2 linked regions of the Pelodiscus sinensis genome follow. The protein of the gene in region 2 purifies or fractionates together with the protein of the main gene of each other region. This does not show direct contact. Links are inferred from orthologs where the notes say so. Each region holds a gene or a part of one and is shown on either strand. Other genes may lie near its edges.

Region 1 (12,500 bases), on a different chromosome or scaffold from region 2:
ATTCAAGCAGTGTCCAGCTGGAGGGTTCAATTGAATGATTTTCCCTTTTTCAGTATCTATTTGTTCAATAATTCACCAAAAATGCTTCTTTCCACAGATCATACAATTATCTTTATAGGTCTTGATTATTCTTTCAAGTTTGGACTGGGTTTTTTATTAGCCAGAATTCAGTTTGTCTGAGGTAGAATCATGTTGATTCTGAAGATAGCCTATTACAGGATATCCTTTTAACTACATGAGAAACAGAAGGGTTGGCTTTTCCTTACTCATTAGATAGGCAAATAATATCACAACCATGCTGCCCCCTAATGGAAGATACAGATTTTAAGACAGCAGTGTTTTGAATGCAATATTTTGGAGAATTGCTCTTACTTTCTATGTTTCTTTTTCTTCTTCTTGGTTTTCTTTTTCTCTTCCTCATCTAAAAAAAATGAACGTAAAATAACCAAAATCCCACAATAATAAAATGAAGTACCAAGCTTTATTGGAAATACAATCCTCTCTACAACAGCAGCTACAGTAAGAAGGAGAGAACTAAAGCCATGTACACTTAGCAACTCATCTGAGATAAGAGTAGGCATGCTATTGAATTCCTTGACTCACCATACACCAGAATGGCTTAATGGTTAGCTACTACTCCTGGGGGAATTCTGCACCACTGTGCATGTGCAAAATTCATCCCCCCTTCCCCCTAGAAAATATATTCTGCTTACTAATTGTTGCAGTTCTGCCTTTCACCCACAAGAGGCCACTGTGGCACCAGAACAGCCAGCAGCCTGCTGGGTTCATCATAGCATCCTACTCAGAGTCAGGTTTGGACGGATAAAGGGGGGGGGGGGGGCCTCTGGAGGGGTTACAGACTGAGGTTCAGAAGGGCTCGTGGAGGAGAGATACTGAAAGGGGCACAAGTTCAGGAGCTAGAGGAGTGACAGCACAAAGCCAGGGCTGATGGGAGCAAATGTGCCTGAATGAATGGGAGAGGTTTTGGGTCGGCTAGGGTCTGCCTGGGGAAGGTTCCCCAGCTTTTTAACAACCTCTCCCACCCAGCCAAAAATCCCCCCCAACAAAATTGTTTCTTGCTTTTCCCACCCACATTCAACAACCCTCCAGATTTACTCTCAGGCTCCTTCCTTGTCTCTCAGCTCTCTGTTATCCCAATGACACCAAGCCTTTGCACTGTTCTGAAGGGTAGGAGAAATACATTTTTGTAGTGTAGTTTAAAGGGATTATTCAATGTTCTGTATAAATATGTCTAGTAAGAAATCTATTTGTCTCTACTGTTACAGACATACTTGCTGACAAGTAATTTGAAATACAATTACCAAAATACTTGAAAATTGAGTGATTATATTATGTTTTGACAAATAAAATATGCACAATTTTAAAATACTGAGCACAGAAATCCCCCAGGAATAAGTTATATGTATTAGAGGGGACGGTCTCAATTCCAGGCTATTTATGGTTTCAAAACAATGGCAAAAATAATATTATTGAATGTACTGATATACTATCACCACCTGACCTGAAATGCCTGATGGATTAAATTCAGGATACCTTTCCCTGATGGCCAGATCCCACGCACAGAAGCAAGGCACACAGAAAAACTGAACAGTGAAAGAATTTAAAATACAGGATTATTCACTTATATGAGAATGGTTACAGAAGTGCAGCAGCAGATGCAGTTTGTTGCCTCTGGACTATAATGATGTGCTTTCACATCTTGAACAAAGTGGATTAGGGCTGAGAGACTTCATAGAAGATATGTTTTAAGGAGACATTTGAGTGGAGAGAGCGGTGATTTAGTGCACAAGAATACAGGCCATTCTAAAGGTAAGAGGTAGCCTGGAGATGAAAATAGGAAAATGGCACAAAGAGAAACTGGTCAACGTTAGACTTGGGATAGAGCAGAAAATGAGGGCCAAGCACAGGTACAAGTGGAATTACAAAAAGCTTCATTACAATTTATACAGCTATGGGGAGAAGAGAAAAATGTATCTTAGTATATAAGCTATAGTTAAGAGATTCATTTTTTCCCCTTAATGAGCAACTAATATACAAAATCCCAGAATGCCGCAAGGATGCAAACACAACAGATACAATATTCCACATGATTATAAAGAATGCATACAATAGAAAGTTTCAAATCATATATAGCTTAATAGAAGCCTTGCTTTCTTACCACTGGAGTTTAGTTCAGACTCAGATTCGCTGTCACTGTCCCCAGAATGCTTCCTGTGTTTTCTTTTAGACCTCTTTCTTTTCTTTTCCTTTTTTTTCTTCTTTTTTTTCTCTTCTGAAAAGATTTGAAAAGGGAACATTAACTTTCAAGATAAGTGTAGCCTGGCATGCCATTAATATTTTGGCTTTAGTATACTAGAACCCCTTTACATGGAATTTTATTATGCTAGTTTAACTAAGTCACTGAAGTTCTTTGTAAGTAAGGTGAACAGATTCTAACCCTGAATCTTCTATTAATGTGTAAACAACTTCTGAGGTCAAAACAAAATACCTTCTGAACTGGAATCTGAAGAGCTGCTCCTCTTAGATTTTGCTTCCTCATCTTCTGCTGGGGTATGCTCATCAGAACTGAACAGACACAAAAAGATATTTAAAATTATGAAACATCATTTGAAGTGGGGATTGTTTGTCCAAAAATCAAATACATGTATAGAGCTCTGCAAATGCAGATATCCACTTTATATCTGTGGGTATGCGCATCTGTGGATGTTGATATCCACAGCTCATTTTTTAAGATATGGATGCAGGTGAGGATATAATTTTTGTATATAGAACCCTGAATATTTGCAGATATCTACTTTATATCCAGGGGTATCCACATCCATGGATGTCAATGCAGATATTCTCAGCTCATTTTTGCAGATACAAAGGTGGATACAAATTTTGTATCCACACAGGGATCTACACATGTACAATTTTTGCAAATTCAGAGCCTGTGTTAGTAATCAAGGAAACGATTAAATAGCTAATATCTGAATCACTCTTCAAACCACAATACTAAGACAACATCATTTGATCTACAACATGCTGAAACCTTATGTAATTGATTTGTTGGCATTATACAAAATATGGTATCCAGATATGGCTGTTTAGTGATTTAACTTTGGAGACATGTAATATGAATTACAAAGAATAACAACAAGACATTTCTGTAAATATTAGTGTTGATATTAATTAAATGTTATCTTATATAAGCCTCCAAATTAGAGTGCCAGAAGGCAAAAAAATCCCATGAAAAATTGCTTACTCTGGGTCAGGAACCTTTGGTGACAGTCCCCAGACTTCAGGTGCTCCCAGTTCTCCAATCCTCTCTCTTTCATTCAGTCTCCTATAAAGATACATACCTGCATTAAAACCGAATGTGCTACCATCAAACAGGTATTCAAAACCTGAATAGTTTGTTTTTATCAGCATTTCTCGTCTCCATAATTAAATTTGCTGAAAGGATATTTTCTTCATGTTAGTATCTAAAATTTGCTTATTCTCTCCAAAAACAAGACACTTCAACACTAATTTTTCAGTTACTGGGGGGCCAGTATGTTTGAGACATTTTTAAGAAACACCTCTGCATGCTTCAGTTAACCCTCAGACTTTGTAGTCTGGTAAAACAGGATTTTTGGCCACATATGTAATGTTCCTGATAGTTTTTTCCATTACAAATTATGTATCTAAATATTTACCATGATGATTACATCCACTTCCTAAAACAAACAGGCAAAGGTACCTAGTCTGTGGCAGATAACTGCACAAAACATCTCTCCATGTGCCCTCGTCTAAAAAAATGGAAGACCTAATTTGTAGAGACAACACATTCTAATATGTGATGCTTTGCTTCTGATCGGAACAATCAGACTTGTCATCACTGTTGACTGTAATCAGGGATACTGGCAGTTTTTATATTGGGGGTGCTGAAAATCATCAAACCAAACTGTAAATCCTGTTATAACTGAAACCACTTCAAGCCAGAAGGAGCAATAGCACCCTCTGCACCCCTAATTTCAGCACCTAAAGCTGTACTATATGTAGGGCCCTATCAAATTCATAGACATGCAAAATGCATCGTCGACTGTGAAATCTGGAGTCCTCCCAATGAAATGTGGACTTGTGTGTGATTTTAGCCTATACTATACATGGGGAAACCAGTGTTTCTCACATTGGGTGTCCTGACCCAAAAGGGAGTTGCAGGGGGATCACAAGGTTATTTTAGGAGGGCCACGGTACTGCCATCCTTAGTTCTGTGCTGCCTTCAGCACTGGGCAACTATACAGCAGTAATTGTAATTTGAAAGGCAGCATCTTGCCAGCAGCAGTTCAGTGGCAATACAGTACTGCTGCTTTCAGCGATGGGCACCTGGAGAACGGCAGCTGCTAACTAAGGTCCCAGCTCTGCAGGCAGAAGTGCAGAAAGAAGGATAGCAGTACCATAACATACCATCCTTATTTCTGTGCTGCTGCTGGCAGTAGCAATGTCTTCCACGCTGGACTCCCAGCCACCACTTTCCAGATCCCCAGTTCTGAAGGCAGCACCACCACCATCTGCAGCACAAAAGTGCAGTAGTGCCACCCCCCGCCACTCAAACCTTGCAAACCCCATACAACTCCTTTGTAGATCAGGACCCCTGCAATTGCAACAGCATGAAGCTCCAGCTTTTAATATCCAAAATCATTATATTTACCATTTAAAAAATCCTATAATCATGACATTGACCCAAATGGACTATGAATTTGGTTGGGCCCTAACTATCTGGAAGATTGTCACTTTTGCAAGCTACCCATGATAACTTAACAAGTTGGGCCCTATCATACCTGTGGGGCTGCATCATTGCATTAACACAGATGTCTCCACACTATTTCATTTCATGTCCCTTTGAGGCTCTAATTTACATCCCTGCATAATTTCTTTAATAGACAAAGTTAGGGAAAACGGACCTAATTTTCCAAAAAAAATAAGGTAGAGCAAGGACTACTATGAGAAGGAGAATCTGGTAGCTAAGTGGTAAGGGGCATTTAAAAGAAGATTGGACAAGGCACGGAAAGGTACGTAACAGGGAACACGCCTGCACTGGGAAAAGGGGCGGGGCACACGCTGCAGCTCGGGTAGCCGGGGCGGGCGAAGGCAGCTCGGTTGGGGGGGGGGGAGACTCGCCTCTGCCGCAGGATCTCTTCCTTCTCCTTCTCATAGTAGTCCGGCCACTGCTTGCCGCCGCCGTGGTGATGGTGCCCGTGGTGAGCGGAGGAGGAGCGCGGCCCGCCCGGCGTGCGCTCCCGGGAGCGGGACCAGCTGCGGCTCCGCCGATGCTTCGAGCCGTTGCGCTCCCGGGACCGCGACCTCCTGCCCCGCTTCTCGGGGGACGCAGGCCGGTGGGGCCGGAGTGTTCTCGGGGGCGAGGGACTCGCCGAGGAGCTGCTGCCGCCCTTCCGCCGGGGGCCTGGAGATCCTGGAGGGCTTCGAGACCGGGACACAGGCGCCATCTCGGCCTCCCGGGCCGGGGGCAGGAGAGGTCTCCCGGGTTGCTACCGTAGCGCCAGCAGCGACCGCGGGGACTTCCGGGTGGCGCACTTCTGAACTATCCCGTGCAACACCACTTCCGGTTTCTGCGCCCTTTCCCCCCATATTAAGAAAGTGCTTCCGGGTACAACCACCCACATCCGTCCCCCGGGAAACAATTTCCGAGTGTTGCTACCAACCCCTTCCGGTACTCGTGCACAGAGCAATTGAACAACCGAGTGCAACAGGCTGAGTCGCCGCCCGGAAACGAGGCGGTGTCGCTTGGTTCCTACGGCAGGGTTCGTTGCGGGCGACCCCGTGCGAGCGGCCAGACGGCTTCGGGTTGTCGGAGTCCGGCGGGATGCAGGAGAACGGGGTCGAAGCGCCAGGTAAGGAGGGACCAAGAGGCGGGCGGGCACCCCGCCCCCATCTGACAGCGGGGCGGCCTGACCCTCACGCATGGTGCTGCCCCCCATGTGGGTGCAGGGGACGCAGCCTGCCCTGTGGCCGGGGGAGCCCAGCGCCCATGGCTCTGCTGGAGATGGGCTCCCCCCAAAGGTCCCGCGGGGCAGGCCTCAGCCTCCTGGAGTCGCCAGGCTGAGAAGAGAGAACAGGTGGCCCCACCCGGCGCAGTGGGGAGGGTGAAACTCGGCCCCCGGGAGCGGCCTGAGACCAGCATCTCCCCGACATAGGTCCCAGACCAGCCATCAGATGGAAGCAGCGTTTAGTCAATACTTAAGGCAGTCAAGCAACAGCAGCAGCGAGAGGCGCTGGATATCCCATCCCATCCCCAGCCCCTTCCATTGCTGTAGTGAGGTATCACTGAATAATTTAATCCGTGGCTCTACAAAGGTGCCATTAAACAAGAAGGACTCAGAATCCTGTGGGAGATGGAAGTGCCCAAGGAGAACAGGAGTAAACGACAGTCAAAATTTCTGTCCTCCTACTGTTTTGGCATTGTCATCAGCATCCTGTTCTGTGCAATCTGTGAGATGCAACCTAGTTGGTCACTGTGCTAACAGGGCAAGCTGCATACAATGCTTCAGTCAAAGTAAAAGTCAGTAGAAAAGACTTTCCCTCACTGACTCCATATTACACTTGATAACTACGGTGACCTGTACATGGGGATGAATATGCAAGTTCTGGAAAAGCCTCATGATGCAGCAGCCCATCTTACTGACCAGCATCAAAAGGCAAGAGTGCATTTTAATCTAGTGCCTTCAGGAACTACACAGACTAAGCTTTGAATGTCCGATAGACAGTTCAAAGTCACAGTGCTATTCTCCAAAGTTTCTCTTCAAATGGGATGTGTCCCAGCTGCCTGAATTAACATCTATGACTTTTTTCTGGAATGATGGAGCTGTCCACAACAGGAACAATGTTTAAAATAAGTGGAAACAGCACTTTTCCAGTGGACAGCTCATGGTTATGGAACTTCCTTCCCCCCAAAATTAGAATGACTGAATCTTCCTGCTTTCGTATTTCAATGCAAAATCCAACCTTTTGCCCTTAGTTTTTCCACAGCAGTTGACCCTTTGCCCCCACCAAACAACCATCAGCAATGAAGGAATAAACAAACATGCAAAACATACAAAAAGCCACTACGTTTTCATTAGTCCTTAGATTTTTTTATTTTAAAAGGTCACCTTAGAATCAAAATAAACAACACAGCAATAATCCAGAGAGTTATAAAAGTTACATAATAAAAGCAAACAGCCTTTTTTTTTTTTAAATGGGTGTCAATGGAGGAAATCTTTATCAAGGATGTTGTTTGTTTTTTTAAAAGCCCTCTTGTAGGTAACAGTCTTTCTTTTGCTTGGGGAAGTAATGTATAATATTGTCCTGACATCAAGTAAGCCTGCCATAAATATCCAAAGAATTATTTTATAATATTATCTCATACTGTCATGTCATCTTATGTAAGCCAAAATCAAATCGAATAGAAGGATATGTCTCAACGTTGTTTATAGTTGGACAGCTGTTTCAGTTACCAGATCTATAAGGTGTGGCATAAGCAGCAAAAAACCTGTTCAAATTATATATGGAAATTAGTAAATGTATAGCACTATGCATTTGGTAAATTGGTAAATGTATAGCACCAAAGAACTGCACTATGCATGGTATTCTTACATTATGTTTCTATCTATGCAGTGAGGCTGTGTCTAGACTACATGCCTCTGTCGTCAGAGGCATGTAGATTAGACACATAGGCAAAGGCAAATGAAGCCGTGATTTAAATGATCGCGGCTTCATTTACATTTACATGGCTGCCGCGCTGAGCCGACAAACAGCTGATCAGCTGTTTGTCCACTCAGCGCGCTAGTCTGGACGCTCCCCTGCCGACATCAAAGCCCTTTGTCGGCAGCCCCATTATTCCTCGTGGGATGAGGTTTACCGGGGCTGCCGACAAAGGGCTTTGATGTCGGCAGGGGAGCGTCCAGACTAGCGCGCTGAGCGGACAAACAGCTGATCAGCTGTTTGTCGGCTCAGCGCGGCAGCCATGTAAATGTAAATGAAGCTGCGATCATTTAAATCGCGGCTTCATTTGCCTTTGCCAAAACAACAAATCTACATGGCTCTGTCGATGGAGCCATGTAGTTTAGACGTACCCTTAGGTTGGGATATCTCTTCCATTGCCAGAAGTGCTGTGGGGATAATGACAATGAATATCAGGAGACTTCCCTTGTTTAATGCTTCTGAGTGATCTCTTTAAAGTGCTAGTAGACTATTGGTTGTTTTTTAAGTTTTTCATGTTACAGACTAACATGGCTACCCCTCTGAAGCCTATGTTCTAATAGAGTAGGAGGAGAGTAGTGAATTGAGTACAAGTCAGTGAGCCTGAGTTCTAATCCCAGCTCTGACACAATCTGTGGAACTAGACTAAATTGTGGCCAGAATTTTAACTGAGCTGAGCACCTTCAGCCTCCAGTGAAGTCAGACACTCAGGCTGTGTCTACATTGGCATGATCTTGCGCCAGAGCGGCCGCTTTTGCACACAAACATGCTGCCTGTCTACACTGGCGGGGAGTTCTTGCGCAAGAACACCGACATTCTAATGTGTGAAATCAGTGCTTCTTGCGCAAGAACTATGATGCTCCCACTCAGGAATAAGCCCTCTTGCGCAACTGTTCTTGCGCAAGAGGCCAGTGTAGACAGGCAACATTAATTTCTTGTGCAAGAAAGCCCGATGACTAAAATGGCCATCGGAGCTTTCTTGCGCAAGAGAGCATCTACACTGGCATGGATGCTTTTGCGCAAAAGCACATCTCTTGCGCAACAGCACATGCTAGTGTAGATGCTCTCTTGCGCAAATACTTTAACACAAAAACTCTTGTGTTAAAAGTATTTGCACAAAATCTTGCCAATGTAGACGTAGCCTTAGCTTTTAGTTGCACTGAAGACAGCTACTCATTACCTTGAAAACTAAGACCATGAATCTCTCCTTTAGTTTTTCTGTTGGTAAAATGGTGATTAACATATTCAACTATCCCTCAGTAGTCTTCTGTGGGTTAATTAGTAATTGTAAAGCTCTTTGAAGTATTTTATACATAGGTTACGTCTACACTGGCACCCTTTTCCGGAAATGCTTAAAACGGAACAGTTTTCCGTTATAAGTATTTCTGGAAAAACCGCATCTACATTGGCAGGATGCTTTTCCGGAAAAGCACTTTTTCCGGAAAAGCGTCCGTGGCCAATGCAGACGCGCTTTTCCGGAAAAAAGCCCCGATCGTCATTTTCGCGATAGGGGCTTTTTTGCGGAAAAGATTACTGTGCTGTTTACACTGGCCCTTTTCCGGAACAATTTTTCCAGAAAAGGACTTTTGCCCAAATGGGAGCAGCATAGTTTTTCCGGAAAAACACTGACAATTTTACAGTAGATTGTCATTGCTTTTCCGGAAAAGCAAGCGGCCAGTGTAGACAGCTGGCAAGTTATTCCGGAAAAGCAGTTGCTTTTCCGGAATAAGTGGCCCATTGATAGTGTTTATATAATTATTGCATTCTACATATAACAGCATGCTGCTACATGTGGCATATGATCCAACTCCAAGTAATGTTAAAAGAAAGTCTTCCACAGACTTTAGTGGGAGTTGAACTAGGTTTTATTACAATATTAAAAGCCAACCAATGCATAAAATACAAAACAAAGCAAAAAATAGAAATCAGATGGGAATTAGTGTTCTACTGTCCTTCTGGCATTAGTAGTGTTCCCAGCATCACAATATTGCTCTTTGTATAGATTATTTCTGTCCCTAGAGATAATCCAGTTAAAATGACTGTCAAATTTTCATTGGTACTGAAAATTGAACCTAGGTATTCAGTGAAGATATTTCTGTCTCATGACATGTTCATGAAAGCTTGGTTCTGTTATTTAGTCTCTAGCAAATTTTATTTATTCTTTTAAAATAAATTAAGTATAACTCTGTCATGACTGAAGACTTTTCCCTGTCTCACAGAAGTAAGTCTTTAAAAATGCTCTCTGTCCCTAAGTATTTCTACCATGAACATTTCCTTTTTCAAAAAAGAAAACTACTCTTAAGATGGTTTAAGTCAAAACTTCACATCTATTGCTCTTAGGGATGTTAAAATGGTTAAGTGGTTTAACTCAGAGTGGTTTAACTCAGAGCCTGGTCCCACTGCATCCTGCAGCATCCATTTAGTCACTTTTTAATTCCAACATCCATTTGTCACACCAAACTGAGAAAGCAAATTTCTGAATTGAACGCCCTCCACACAAAATGCTATAATCAAGCAGTGCCCAACCACCAGGCTGCAGCTCACTGTCAGGCCACAGACCTTTGGCTGCTGGGCTGCGGTGGCTCTGGGGCCCAAGGCTGGGATACACTGCTCTTGCCGTAGTTGTTGGGAGAGTCGTGTCCTGCCTCACCTCTCAGCCAACTAGTGAGGGGCAGGGGCAGAGTCTCCTCCCGGCCACAGAAGAATGCTTTCCTGCTCTGTGGGAAGGCTGCCTGGAGCCGCTCCATATGACCCTCCCACTGCACAGAGAAGAGCTTGTCCATGGCTGGAGGAGACCCTGCCCCTGCCCGGTGCTGGTTGGCTGAGAGGCGGGGCAGGACATGCCTTTCCCAACAGCTGCAGTGGGAGGGAAGGTGATGGGTGGTGTACCCAGACCTGGCCGTGATGCAGTCAGCAGTGCAGGCCTGGGTGAGGGGGTGGGGCTAATGCTGGGGAGCTCTGGAGGCTGAGCTAGTGGTGGGGGCAGGCTATAGAGGCAGGGATAGCACTGGGGTAAGGATGTTAAATTTAGATTAATCAACTAATCAAATAGTCAATGCAATTTGCATCAACTATTTGATTAGTTGATAAGGGCACCTCCACCTTTGAAATGTAGCAAGAGCCCTGCTGGCTCTTCCTATATTTCAAAGGCAGAAGTGCCACAGGAGCATGGGGTTAGTGGGGGACTCATGCACTTTATGCCTGACCAATCTGATTAGATGCTATGATAAGGTAACGGGCTCTGTGGACAAGGGAAAGTCAATGGATGTGACATATTTGACTTTAGAAAAGCTTTGGATATGATCTCCCACAATATTCTTATCAGCAAGTTAAGGAAGTATGGATTGGATAAATGGACTGTAAGGTGGATAGTAAGCTGGCTAGATTGTTGGGCCCAACGGGTAGTGATCAATGGATCAATAGCTGGTTGGCGGTCGGTTTCAAGTGGAGTGCCCCAAGGGTCGGTTCCAAGGCCAGTTTTGTTCGACATCTTTATTACTGACCTGGATGAGGGGATGGATTGCACCCTCAGCAAGTTTGTGGATGACACTAAGCTAGGGGGAGAGGTAGATATGTTGCAGGGCAGGGATAGGGTCCAGAGTAACCTATACAGATTAGAGGATTGGGCCAAAAGAAAGCTGTTGAGGTTCAACAAGGACAAGTGCAGAGTCCTGCACTTGGGACGGCAGAATCCCAAGCATTCTTACAGGCTGGGGACCAATTGGTTATGTAGCAGTTCAGCAGAAAAGTTTTTCACCCTCCTCCTTGAACAGTCTTCCATGTATTTGAAAACTGTTTGTCATGTTTTGTGGACCTTTAATAATTTTTGTTACCCTCCTTTAGACTTTCTCTAGTTTGTCCATATCTTTCCTGAAATGTGGCACCCAGGACTGTGCACAATACTTCAACTGAGGCCTTGTCAGAATAGAGAGGAAGACACTTGTTGTGTCTTCAGTATTCTAACACTGCAACTGAGGTTTTAAACCATGTTAGTTCAAGCCCCCCGCAGGATTAGCTCACCTCAAAAATCACCAATTCTTCAAAGGTTGTTTACAGTTTATAGTGCCTAAATAATGTTAATTGAGAGCACCTAATTAACTATTGCACTTCATCTCTTGTCATTCCCACATTGCAAAGCAGGTATGGTGGAATTTTTACACCTACTTTGGCTGCTGTAACTGAATATGCAAGGTACACTGCAGTGGTGAATCAAATCACTTAGCCCTATGCATTGTTCTGATCAGCCAAGACAACATGTTTCTTCATGGCACAAAGGCATCTCCAGGTTGTTAAACCTTTCCATTTAAAAATGGTTTGCAAAGGGGAAAATGCTGAGCCAATGGCTCCTTTTGCTTCTTTATAATGTTTAAAGACCTAGGGTTATTTAAAAGAAAATCAGCTTTCTGGATTTTTACTTTCACATGTTCTATCTAGATAAAAGACTGATTGATTGAGGAATTAGTAATGGCAATGTGACAAGAGATTACAGAGTGAAAGTTGAGCTAAGGGAAATAGATTTTTATCAGACTGTTTAACACTACTTTGTTGATAAAACCTATTTAAATGACTGACATTTTCAGGAGAGTGTGCCTTTGTTAAAGATACACTTTTTATATACTGTATGTCCATTAATATGCTGAGTGCTCATGATTAGAGAAGGGCAATGTTGAAAAATAAATAAAAAATCATTAAGGGTCAGAAAACATTTTTTTAAATTTTCAGTAAAAAGTTGAGGAAAATGTGGATCAAGTGAAATATTC
Region 2 (12,384 bases):
CTCGGTCCATCGGAAGTAGGGACTGAACCTGGGGCATTATGGGTTAAAGCCATAAGCCTCTATCACATTAGTTAAAAGACAACTGGCTCTTCATTAAGCAGCCTGTGATCGGGAGCACATTTTTGTGGCCCATAATTTAAAATAAAATGCTCCTCTCTCATGCAGCGAACGGAGCATGGGCATAAGTGACAACCTGAGGTCTGGCCAGGCGACCAACTCAAGACTTCAAAATGATCAGCTGGTGTAGTTCAGTAAGTGATACAAACACTGTTGAATGTTTAGAATCATAGAATCCCAGGGCTGGAAGAGACCTCAGGAGTCACCGAGTCCTGCCCCCTGCCCAAAGCAGGACCAACCCCAACTCAATCATCCCAGCCAGAGCTTTGTCAAACAGACTTAAAAACCTCTAGGGATGGAGAGTCCACCCCCTCCCTAGGGAACCCATCCCAGTACTTCCCCACTCTCCCAGGGAAATAGTTTTTCCTCATATCCAACCTAGACCTCCCTCACTGTAACTTGAGACCACTGCTCCTTTTTCTGCCATCCGTCACCACTGAGAACAGCCTCACTCAATCCTCTTTGGAACCCTCCTTCAGGAAGTTGAAGTCTTTATACACAAGACATTTGAAAAGAACACGTGGAGAAAATGGAGTAGAAACCAATGAGTGGAATAAATACAGAACTATAACTTGCCAATTTTGAGTATTATAATACGGTATTTTCAAGGGATTCAAGTTGGTGCTATAAACTAACGCTTAAACACTCTGTCCCCCATCATCATTTGATCTGTATTCAACATCCATCACATTCTTCCATACCTTCATGCTCAGGCTGGTTTTGGACCCAGTGAATGACAGCACTTTGACCTTTACTCTTTGTCCTTTGCTCACAACATCAGCAACATTAGCAACACGTCCCTCTCTGCGAAGTTCAGAAATATGAACCAAGCCTTCCCAGCGTTTCCTGTGGGTCACACATGGACAGAAGGGCATGAGATGCTGTACAATACGGTGGGAGACAGCTCGTCACATATCATTTCAACACTTACAGGTCTTAAAATGTTTTAACGCTGAGAGGTTCTTGCATGATTATAAACTGTCCCTGGAAATTATAAACTGAGATGCGGCATGTAAGAGGTTAACCGGTGGCCCAGACAGGCTGGAGCAGTTCCCCTTCCCCCACCGATGCAGGTGCAGGTGGGGCCACTCCAGCCCAGCCGGGCTCACCGCAGGATCCCAGTTAACCTATTAAACTGAACGTTCAACCAGTTAATTTTTTAAAATGGTACTTTACATCCCTACTGGAAAGAGAAACGTTCTTTACTGACCACTTTACTTTTTTGAAACAGAAAATTCACCACGGTTGTGAAATTCAGTGTGTACCACTGGCATACGTGGCTGAGCCTAATAAGGCATCATACTTTTTTTCTTAAGTCACACTAATGACAGAAATTGATGACAATATTTATAATACTCAAAGGCAGGGTGATGGTACCAAAAAGTGGTAATGACTTCTTGTGACGGTCAGATGAGTACCTTAGTCCTTCCAGCTGCACAAAGCACCCAAACTGCATTATACTAGTGACTTTGCCATTGTAAATTTCTCCAATTGAAGGCTCTTCAGGTGGAGGCCGATCCACATGCTTGTCCCTCCATCTATCATTGCTCTTCTCTGTGTATTTCTCTCGATCCTTACGGTCCCTGCTGGGACTCGGACTCCTGCTCCTTGAGCGGTATCTGGATTTCCCCTTGTTCTTATCCCGAGTCCTAGAACGGGACCTGGAACGGGATCGGTGCCTCCGTTTCCTGTCTCTGTCTCTACTGCGACTGCGGCTCCTCCTCTTTTTTTTTGTCCTGACAAACATCAACAATCTGCATTAAATTTTCATGCAAGAGCAGGTCACACAGACACTATACTTCCTAGCTAGTCATGGCCCAGAGATGCACTGGAAACTTACCGGTGATCAGTATTCCTTTGTTTTGCCTTCCCACCGGCAGTAGGCATTAAAGCTTCAAGTTCTTTAAGAGCATCAGCAGCTACTTTCACATCATCTTCATCCAGCATAGTCTGTAGACACAGAGAATATCTCTGTAAGCAAACTGATTAAAAACCTACCAACCTCACATCTATTTCTGGAAAGGAGGAGAAAAGATCACAGAGAAATATACTGTAAAGAAGCTAAAATATGGGGATGATTACACCATGAAACTTAAAGGCACATGGCTCTAACAGTTCTGCCTCTATGTAAGACTTTGGAGACTTTTTTAAATTGTTACTAAAATCTTCATATGCATGTGACCCGTAGGCAACTTGGGTAGCCTAGTATGCTAATAATTTTTTCAACCTCACCTTCAAGCCTCTGCACAATTCTACCTTTTCCTTTTGCCTCTTCTATGCCTCTTACTTTCTGCACTTTTCTGAATCCTCCTTTCTATCATCCTCATTTTCTTGCTCTTTGTACCTTCCGCCATGCAATCCCTTTCAAGCCTAGGTGTCAAACATGCTCCTTCAAAACCACTCCTTAACCAAAGTCACCTTCCATGGTCTCAGTGATGCCAGGCAGTTTTGCACCTGAACCATTATCCCACTTATTATATTGTCTGCGTTAGAATGTAAATTTGTCAGGGTAGGATGGAGGTTCCACAAAGCAGTGTTGGCTCTGAGAGAGCTATATTAACAATAATCCCCTGCAACTAACCTCCAGCAATCTTCAGCTAACTACTGACCTCCCATGACATTCTGCATTTTCATTTCTCAGGCCCCATCACATTTTGTGCATTAGAAGCACAATACAGATGATCAGGGCTCAACAATTAGTGTAATCTACTGAGTAGATTACAGCCGGCACAGCTGCTCAGCGTGCCGAATTGCGCGGCTGGCAAGCGGGACTCGCCGCCGCCTGGCGAGCCCTGCAGATGATCATGTTAATGTAGCAACTGCAAACCAAGAGTGAAAAAATAGAGAGCAAGCATGATACTTCCATGCACTGATTTTTAACGTGTGAAACGTCATCCTTACCCTGATAGTGGGATTGTCTGGTCTGCAAAGGGCTGGGAACAGGTCCTTCAGCTTTTCCTTTTCTGTTTTGGGTTTGACAACTGCCTCTGCTTTTAGAACAAAAAAGCGTTTAAAAAAAAAAAACCACATTAGAAATGCACCTTTATCACATGGCTACAATAATTTGTCACTGTCATTTCTTAAACCGAATACTGTAGTCATTTAAGCTCTGAATGTAAATTTTACGGTAGCTTTTAAAAATTAAAAAGCTGGGACTTTTCAGCTTGTAAAAGTTGACTAAGGGGGGATATGATACAGGTCTATAAAATGATGACTGGGGTGGAGAAAGTAAATAAGGAAGTGTTACTTACTCTTTTTCATAACACAAGAGCAGGGGTCACCAAATTAAATTAATATACAGCCGGTTTAAACAAACAAAGGAAGTATTTTTTTCATACAATGCACAGTCAACCCGTGGAACTCCTCGTCAGATGATGTTGTGAAGGTCAAGATAATAACAGGGTTCAAAAAAGAACTAGGTAAGTTCATATAAGGTATGTCCATCAACGGCTATTAGGCAGGATGGGAAGGAATGACATCCCTAGGTTCTGCTCACTTGATGATTACCTGTTCTGTTCATTCCCTCTGGGCCACCTGGGATTGAACACTGTTGGGAGACAGGACACTGGGCTAGATGGGCCTTTGGTCTGACCCAGTATGACAGTTCTTACCTTCTTAAGAATAACATTTCCCTTCACCAAAAAAATGCTGGTTAAGTAAGATAGTGAAATATAAAATACTCTAAATTCTGCACCGAGTAAAGCTCTTTCCTTGAGCAGCCCAAAACCTTTGCCACAGTGATTCCTGCAATACAGGGAACTCCACTGGAATAACAGCATATAAGAATAGCTATTTCTCTGTCACACATAATATTCAACAGTTGCTGAAAGGATTGGGACGGCTTTCTGTTGAGCTGTTGGAGCAGTGAGTATTTACTTACCTTTGCCTGTAGATGGCTTTCCTGGAGGCCGCATAGTCTGTATGAGACGTAACAAATTACTAATGAGGGAGTCCTGAAAAATTCAATAAAGCACAGAAGATATTTTTAAGTGATTGCAATACTTTTGCACATTAGTACAAGGTAGGGTTTGTTAGCAGGGAACAAAAAGCTCAATTCCAACTTCTAAAAGCATCTAGAAGCATAGAGCTGCAGTCACAAGAATTTACATGTATACCATAAAAGTTCAGCTGCTTGGTGCAGACTCTACAGCGTTATGAAAATTGCATGTAAGTGACTCTCCACACTAGTCACTAATTCTAGCCATGACATGTTTAAAAGTCTGAGGAGTAGCCATGTTAGTCTGTAACTTTAAAAACAATGAGTAGTCCTGTGGCACCTGAAAGACTAACAAATATATATAGTATCATGAGCTTTTGTGGGCAAAACACACTTCTTCAGATGAGCTGAGCTCCATTCAAGCTCATCTGAAGAAACATGTTTTGCCCACGAAAGGTCATGATACTATATTTTATACATATATACATATATATACACGTGTGTGTGTGTGTGTGTGTATATATATATATTTTGTTAAGTCTCTAAGGCAGGACTACTCAATTTTAGAAGCCCCAGGGGCCACAATGATACTGACAACACATACCAAGGGCCACAACATAAGTGTGTTTGCATAAACATGCAAATATATATGCAAATAGCTTCTTTCACACGGTCGAGCATGAATACAAAGCACTTCCCACAATGCCCTGGCACTCCCAGCACCTCCTCCCTGGGGTCTAGAAATGCCAATACCCTGTACCCGTCTGTTCAAGCCACCCCGTCCACTTGTGTCTTTCAATGCTCACCCCGCCTGGGAGACACCTCGCTGTTGTGGAGCGTGTTCCCAGTGGAGCCCATATTCAAAGGATCCTACTCACAGGCCACATGTTGAGTCCCATGTAGACCCAAACCACGTTGCAGTACGCAAACAAACAGGCCACGGGCCGCGTATTGAGCAGCCCTGCTCTAAGGTGCCATAGAACTACTCATTGTTTCTAACCATGACAATCACTCTGATCTGTTTGTAAGGTACTTATTAGCTTGGTGTATGAGCACCATAAAAAGTTTGTTTTCACGACAAGCTATTTTTCTTGCACTTCACATGCGCAGTAATAAGACATAAATAGCCCAAATGAGTCTTCAAAATTGTATCATTCTTAATTATACAAAAGTGTTTGGAAGCCAGCATACATGAATTAAGTGAAAATAACTGCACAACAACACACACACACTTAATCCTTGCAACTCTCTTTTAAATAAACAATTTTTGTGTTTGCATCTCACTTACTGTGAACTCGGCGCCATTCTTTGTAAGGGCAGCCTTGAATATGTCAAATGTGGTGTTCTTCTCGGCGAGATTTATCACAAATTCAGCTGCAAACAAAGTGATGAGAGTGAAATAAATAAAAACTGGAAGTCAGGCCACATGCATTTCACTCTAATGAAAGGGGCTGGCATGGCAACCTTTGAACCTGAAGTCCCTCATCCAGTCACAGAACCTGGAGTAATGCACGGGCTGCAGCAGTGCCAGTTTTTCTTTCTACACTGTCTCAGGTCCACCTGCTCAAAACCAGGGTTGGAGGGATTGCAAATGGCTCTGGCTGAGAAGAGAGCTCATATGCTCACTCCAGACCCTCAACTCTTTGGGGGCCAGAGCTGTCTTTTTAACTACATTTGTTCAACACTCAGCACAACCACCCTAGCTCAAAAATACCACCAGGCCAATTCCTTGTTTAATTAATACATATTTACTAGGGATGCAAGAGTTTAACTCGTTAACTGATAAGCTGATGCTTCTCGGTTACCGTTAGCGGTTAACCGTGGGGCCTGCAGCCCATGCAGAGTTTAACCAGATAACGGACAGAATTTTGATCAGTTACACCAGGGGTTCTCAAACTTGTGATACCGCGACCCCCCTCTCAGTTGCTCACGACCCCTCTTTCCATTGCTGCAACCACCCTCTCAAGTTGCTCGCGACCCCGCGGGGGGTCAGGACCCACCGTTTGAGAGAAACTGAGTTACATGGTTAACGTGTTTTATTGTTTGTTAACATCCCTAATGTTTACACATTTACTTTCTTACCGCAGACACCCTTGGCACCAGGAGGCGCTGGCTCAAACTGCAACTCTGCCGCTGAGACACAGCTGGGTACAGCCCCGAATGGGGGGGGGTGTCCCCTGGTTCCTGCACCCCCCATCAAGCTGCTCTCGGGGGGGGGGCTCAGCCCCTTCCGGGGGCGCCTGTAGACCCCGTCCAGACCCCGCCGGGGGGGTCCCCTGGCTCCTGCACCCCCCCATCAAGCTGCTCTCGGGGGGGGGCTCAGCCCCTTCCGGGGGCGCCTGTAGACCCCGTCCAGACCCCCCCCCAACACGAGCCCCGGCGGCCCCCCCGCGACCCGCCCCCCGCTCTGGACCGAGCCCCCCCCGCGGCTCCTCACCCAGGTCCTTGTCGTTGATGCCCAGGTGATTGTCCAGCTCGGTGCAGACCTTGGACACCAGCGACAGGTACTCGAGCTTCGCGAGCTCCTCGGCCACCGCCGGCTCCCCCATCGTCGCGCCCCCGGCCTCGCGCCCCCGGAGCGGATCCACTTCCGGGTCACGCCGCGCGACGGGGGAGGCACGCACAGGGCGCTGGCCAGAGAGACGGCGGCGCCGGCTAGAGCGGCTCAGACTGGAGCCGGGCAGGGAGGCGGCGCCTCCCACTCTATGGTGCAGGGGCGGCTCTTTCCTGAGCCCGGCCGGCCGGCGGGGGGCGGGGCCTGAAAGCCTCGAACACAGGGTCGCCCTGAGCGCTGGGGGGATACCCCCGTGTCAGGGGATCCCCCCTGTGTCAGAGAGGGGATACCCCCTGTGTCAGAGAGGGGATACCCCCTGTGTCAGGGGATACCCCCTATGTCAGAGAGGGGATACCCCTGTGTCAGGGGATACCCCCTATGTCAGAGAGGGGATACCCCTGTGTCAGGGGATACCTCCCATGTCAGAGAGGGGATACCCCCTGTGTCAGAGAGGGGATACCCCCTGTGTGAGGGGATACCCCCTATGTCAGAGAGGGGATACCCCTGTGTCAGGGGATACCCCCTATGTCAGAGAGGGGATACCCCCTGTGTCAGGGGATACCCCCTATGTCAGAGAGGGGATACCCCGTGTCAGAGAGGGGATACCCCTGTGTCAGGGGATACCTCCCATGTCAGAGAGGGGATCTTCCCCCCCCCGTCAGTGAGGGGATACCCCTGTGTCAGAGAGGGGCTCCCCCTATGTCAGAGAGGAGATACCCCTGTCAGAGGGAATACCCCCGTCAGAGAGGGGATACCTTCCATGGCAGAGAGGGGATACCCCCTGTGTCAGAGAGGGGATACCCCCTATGTCAGAGAGGGGATACCCCTGTGTCAGGGGATACCTCCCATGTCAGAGAGGGGATCTTCCCCCCCCCCGTCAGTGAGGGGATACCCCTGTGTCAGAGAGGGGCTCCCCCTATGTCAAAGAGGGGCTTCCCCTGTCAGTGAGTAGAATACCCATGTTAGAGAGAAGATCCCTCCCCTGTCAGAGAGGAGATACCCCCTGTCAGTGAGGGGATGCTGACCATGTCAGAGAGAGGATCCCTCCTGTATCAATGAGGAGATCCCTGCGTCAGTGAGGGGATCCCTCCCACCTGTGGCCGTGGTGGGGAATCCCCTCGCTGTGTTTGTAGGGGGGGAGATTCCACCCCATCCATAAAGAAACTCCCCCTCCCGCCCAGCGTCACAGCATTCCATGCCGATGTTCCACGGGGGCTTCTCCCCAGGCAATGTGCCTCCCCCTCTGCCTCCCCCCGGCAGAGGCTGGGTTCACAGACAAAGAACATTCATGCCAAGGGAAGGGGATCACCAGCTCCGGGGACCTTGCAGCGTTTCCAGGCTGGATCCATAACCAGAGCCTGAATGGCCACAAAGTAGAGTCTGCAGGAAACCATCAAGCACAATGAAACCCCTGTAACAGACCATGCATTGTAGGGTGAAAACAAACATGGAGCCAGGCTCTCCTCACCACACGCACCAGTGACCTGCCTGTTCCCCAGAGAGGAGCTAAACCATCAGGATTAAAATGACTACTGGCTGGTGGTCACCTGGTTACATCATTGCCCACAAGAGGTCTCCATCCATTTTGCCTGCCTGCTGCAAATCAAAGGCTTGGCAGGTCATCCTGCGATCTGTACCTGCAAAGACACATTGATTTTTGAAGTCTTAGAAGACGTGAATCAGACAGAGAAAGGCAACAGCCAAATTCCCCTGGCTCCCAGCCTTGTACCTCAGGAAGACTTTTTCTTCTGCAATGCAAGTTTATTAACTGGTTCATCATTTCATCAGTGGCACCGGCTTTTGTAAACCTGAGCAGACTTACCAAACACTTTAGGCAAACTCGCTGGTAAGGATAGTAAAACAAGTGTATTGATAACAAAAGATAGATTTGAAGTGATTATAAGCAATAAGCAAAAACTCAGAGTGGCTACCAAAAGAAAAAAATAAGCATGCAGGCTAAATCTTAACTCTTATCACAATACACGGTATTTAGATCAAGCAATGTTTTCCAGGGATGTCCTGGGGATTCATGGGGCTCTACACAGGACTATTAAACTGGTACTAGGGGTGGCCCGTGACTATAGGCAGACTTGGCCACCGCCTAGGGTGCCACCTTCAACGGGGCACCCAGAGCGCCCGATGATGACGTCAGTCCATTGATGGCCCTGCAGGCGGGAGCACCGATCACGCGTTCCGCCTGGGGCACCAACTGCTGCAGCCCACCTCAGGCTGTTCCTGACGGGTGCCCCTATGCCCAATGGCAGCCCGGGATGGGGATGATGGTTTTTTAGAGCTGTGATTTTATCATCTTCAGCAACACACTCTTGAAATCTTTTAAAGCAAATTTTAAACTAAGGTCCTGTTGACTAACACAGTAAATTCAGAAACTGACAGTCTATACCAGGGTTTGGGAAATGCCTGTTAAATGGCTTCATTACCACTTCAGTGGCTTTTTCACAGGTTCAGTATTCTGCATGGGTGGTGAATGAAGGCCCAGCTGGGGGAGGCAAACTGAAGGGGTGAGGAACCTCAGACACGGGGGCCGGATGCAGCTCCTGACTTGCCTGGATCTGGCCCCCAAGGCTTACAGCTCCCCCCACAGCATTGGGGAGCCTGCACCTACTGCGGGACTGGACTACACATCAGCCCTTGACTCCAAAAAGGTTCCTTGCCCCTGTTCTAATTCCTGTTTCTAGTGTGCACCACCCATCTTTTTCAATTCACTTTCTGTGTTGAGAGGACAGGGATTTACATCAGATGTCATACTCAGAACAAATTTGCCAGTTTTCTTCAGTTCTTATAATTCTCAATGGGCAAAATGTCTGAAAAATTTTTGGATTTCAAGTTCACTGTATGGATGCCCTGGGTCCTGTCATTTGTGAGTGACATTTTTTAAGCCAAGAGAGAGAGATGTTTGATTTGGCCAGGAGATGGCAGTAAAGCACCTTGTCTATGGTTTTAAAAGCTAGGATTTCCAGAAGGCGCCCAGACATTTTGGGTGTGTCTACACTGCACTCTTATCTCAAAATAAGCTATGCAATTTGAGTGACACAAATTGCACAGCTTATTTCAAGTAAATTTCTAAATAGAGTGCTATTCTGAAACGTCCTTTAATCCTCGTGGAAGGAGGTTCATAGGGATGTCGAAATAGCAAGCCCGTTATATTTTGAAATAATGGGCTTGCTCAAAAGATGTGGAATAGCTATTCTGGGATCTTCTGGGATCCCAAAATAGCTTCACAGTGCAGACATAGCCTTTGAGAGGTAAACATAGGATTTGCCACACCAGATAAAAGTATCGCTCTATGTAATTCAGTATCCTGCCCAATAGGGCTATGTTTACACTGCAGCGCTATTTTGGGATACCAGAGTATCCCAAAATAGCTATTCCATGTCTTCACAGCAAGCCTGTTATTTGGAAATATCACGGGCTCGCTATTCTGATGTCCTTGTAAACTACATTCCATGAGGAGTAAGGGACGTTTCAGAATAGCGGGTGATTTCAAAATTTGGCGCTGTGTAGACAGTGCCAAATTACAAAATAAACTATTTTTAAATAAGATCGAAATAAGCTATGCAATTTGCATAGCTCAAATTGCATGTCTTATTTTGAGCTACGGGTGAACTGTAGACGCATCCTAGCAGTGCCTTATGTTTCACAGAAAAGTGAAAATTCTGTGGCTCGCACTTAGCCCAAAGCTGCAGGGGGTAGCCGAGTTAGTCTGCTACAGAAAAAAACAACAAATGCTCTGGTAGCACTTTATAGACTAACAAAACATATAGATGGGATCATGAGCGTTCGTGGGCACAGCCCACTTCTTCAGATGACCAGAGTTACTTAGCCCAAAGTAAGTTAGGGTACGTCTACACTTGCTCTCTAGTTCAAGCTAGGGATGCAAATGTAGCCGACCGAAATTGCTAATGAAGCGGGGATTTAAATATCCCGTGCTTCATTAGCATAATCTCACCCGTGCGTTATTCCGCTCGCCAGCTGATTCGAACCAGGAAGTGCGTTCCGGGATGCGTTAGTTCGAATCAAACCCCTTGAGTCGAACTAACGTTACTCCTCAAAAAATGATACCCAAAATAGCTCCGTGTAGACGTAGCCTTAGTGTGTCAGTCCTGCTGTATCACCACGGACTCCTATACATTCCCTCCTACTTCCTCAAAGTCTGCCTTGTCCATGGTCACTGTGTTGGGCTGCAGATGTAGGAAAGGGAGAGAGAAAAGCAGCACAAGTCTGGAGATGGGGGGTCTAAGGAATGTTGATGTGATGGGAAGCATGGGGATCTGAGAAGTAGCGGACAGAGGAATTTTTTCCCTCTAATATCCAGATTATTATTTGTATCACAGTAAAAAGACCTGTCAAGGAGCTATTCTGCTAGACTAGTGCCAGGCGCTGTCGAGACAAATAACAAAGGAAGTCGTCTCTTACTCCAGAGAATGTACAGCCCAGGTGTGAGACGAGACAGCCAAGCAGGCTGTCCAGGGGCGAGGCAACACGATGAAGAGCAAAGCAGAAACATGGGCATGACTATTCAAATCTCCAGCTGATTAATATCCAATCCAGGAGCTGATTGCAGCAAAGCAGCATCTTTCTGGGCACTGTCTCATCCGGGAGGAGGTGACAGCAAAGGAAAGGCTGGGAGAGAAATGAAAGTGGGTTATAATGCTAGTCCAAAGTCTTGCATTTTCAGCCCCACAGAGCAATCGTTTCTCCTTTAAAAACAGGGGAGGTGGGTGAAGGTTGGACTGGGGGAGGCAAAACCCCTAACACTTCCCCCAACCCCACCCCTTCTGCCCAGCCCTCGCCTCCTGCACCATGGGGAGGGCAGGTAGCATGCAGCCCCAGGCTTCCAGGCCCCTGAGCACTGGGGAGGGTGAGTGGCACACAGCCCCAGGTTCCCCAGCCCTGGAGCACTCCGGGGCAACAGTAGGCATTCTGGGGGCAGAGTGTGGGCGGGGCCATGCCTGGCGGTTTGGGAAGGCAATGCCTCCCCCCGCCTATGATACCTGCCACCCCAGCTTTGCAGAAATTCTTGGAGACGGTGTTGTGTGTCTCTGGTTGTGCTATCCAAGTCACGCCTGTGAACCCTGAAGCCACCAACCTGCACATGAACCAGCATCTGACACAATGATCATGAACAGAGCCCCGGAGAGAAGCCAGCGTTGTTCGGCTAGCAGCCAAGTACCCTTCACTAATGCAATACTTCAAACAAGGATTTGCTGGAATGGTGAATTCCCCCGGAGTCTTGTGATGTACACGCCGTGATCTACGGACAGCGCCTGGCATTTCTGTGGGCACGCCCTTCTCGCTAATGTTCACGAAATGTCTCTGGCTTTGTGCTTTCCCCTAAGAGGAGGCCACCCATTAACAAAACTATGCAAAGCCACCAGTTCTCCATCATTTCCATTAGCCACTTTCAGAGAATCTTCACTGGACAGAAGTAATCCACCATCCCTAGGGTTGGGGGTGCAATAAATCCAATTTCTGCCACATCTAGGACCCCCCCAACCCTGCTCCGTCCTCCTAAGCTGGAGGGCGCGTCAAGAAGAGCCACAGAAATGACCTTTGGTTGAAGGGACTGATGTCTGAGGTAAGGCTAAAAGAGCTCAGGATTAAAACCCGGCCGAGAGATGACAGTGCGGGTTCCTAAGCTTCTCTGCACGGATCTGAAGGATGTAAAAGCCAAGACGAGGAGCAATGGTTGTAGGCTGCACACGGGCGTACGCTGAGACTGAATCAAGAAAGGGAGCGTGCATTATTTTAGTCTAGG

Evidence for each region.
Region 1: the proteins of DHX8 (region 2) and NKAP purify together in Homo sapiens (co-immunoprecipitation; 3 studies listed by BioGRID and IntAct, with this or other methods). This does not show direct contact. The link is inferred for Pelodiscus sinensis from reciprocal best matches to the Homo sapiens genes DHX8 and NKAP.

The regions. Positions count from the first base shown.
Region 1 is NC_134723.1:33,980,870-33,993,369, reverse strand, and holds the start of NKAP (NF-kappa-B-activating protein), read right to left. Parts: upstream 5,618-12,500; 5' UTR 5,490-5,617; coding exon 5,164-5,489; intron 3,347-5,163; coding exon 3,266-3,346; intron 2,587-3,265; coding exon 2,510-2,586; intron 2,294-2,509; coding exon 2,180-2,293; intron 422-2,179; coding exon 373-421; intron 1-372. Other genes in the region: ZBTB33 (transcriptional regulator Kaiso), read left to right, coding at 5,867-5,894. UniProt on the Homo sapiens protein: Acts as a transcriptional repressor. Plays a role as a transcriptional corepressor of the Notch-mediated signaling required for T-cell development. Also involved in the TNF and IL-1 induced NF-kappa-B activation.
Region 2 is NC_134739.1:7,991,615-8,003,998, forward strand, and holds the start of DHX8 (ATP-dependent RNA helicase DHX8), read right to left. Parts: upstream 6,665-12,384; 5' UTR 6,604-6,664; coding exon 6,492-6,603; intron 5,429-6,491; coding exon 5,343-5,428; intron 4,071-5,342; coding exon 3,998-4,070; intron 3,108-3,997; coding exon 3,019-3,107; intron 2,068-3,018; coding exon 1,958-2,067; intron 1,854-1,957; coding exon 1,536-1,853; intron 964-1,535; coding exon 819-963; intron 1-818.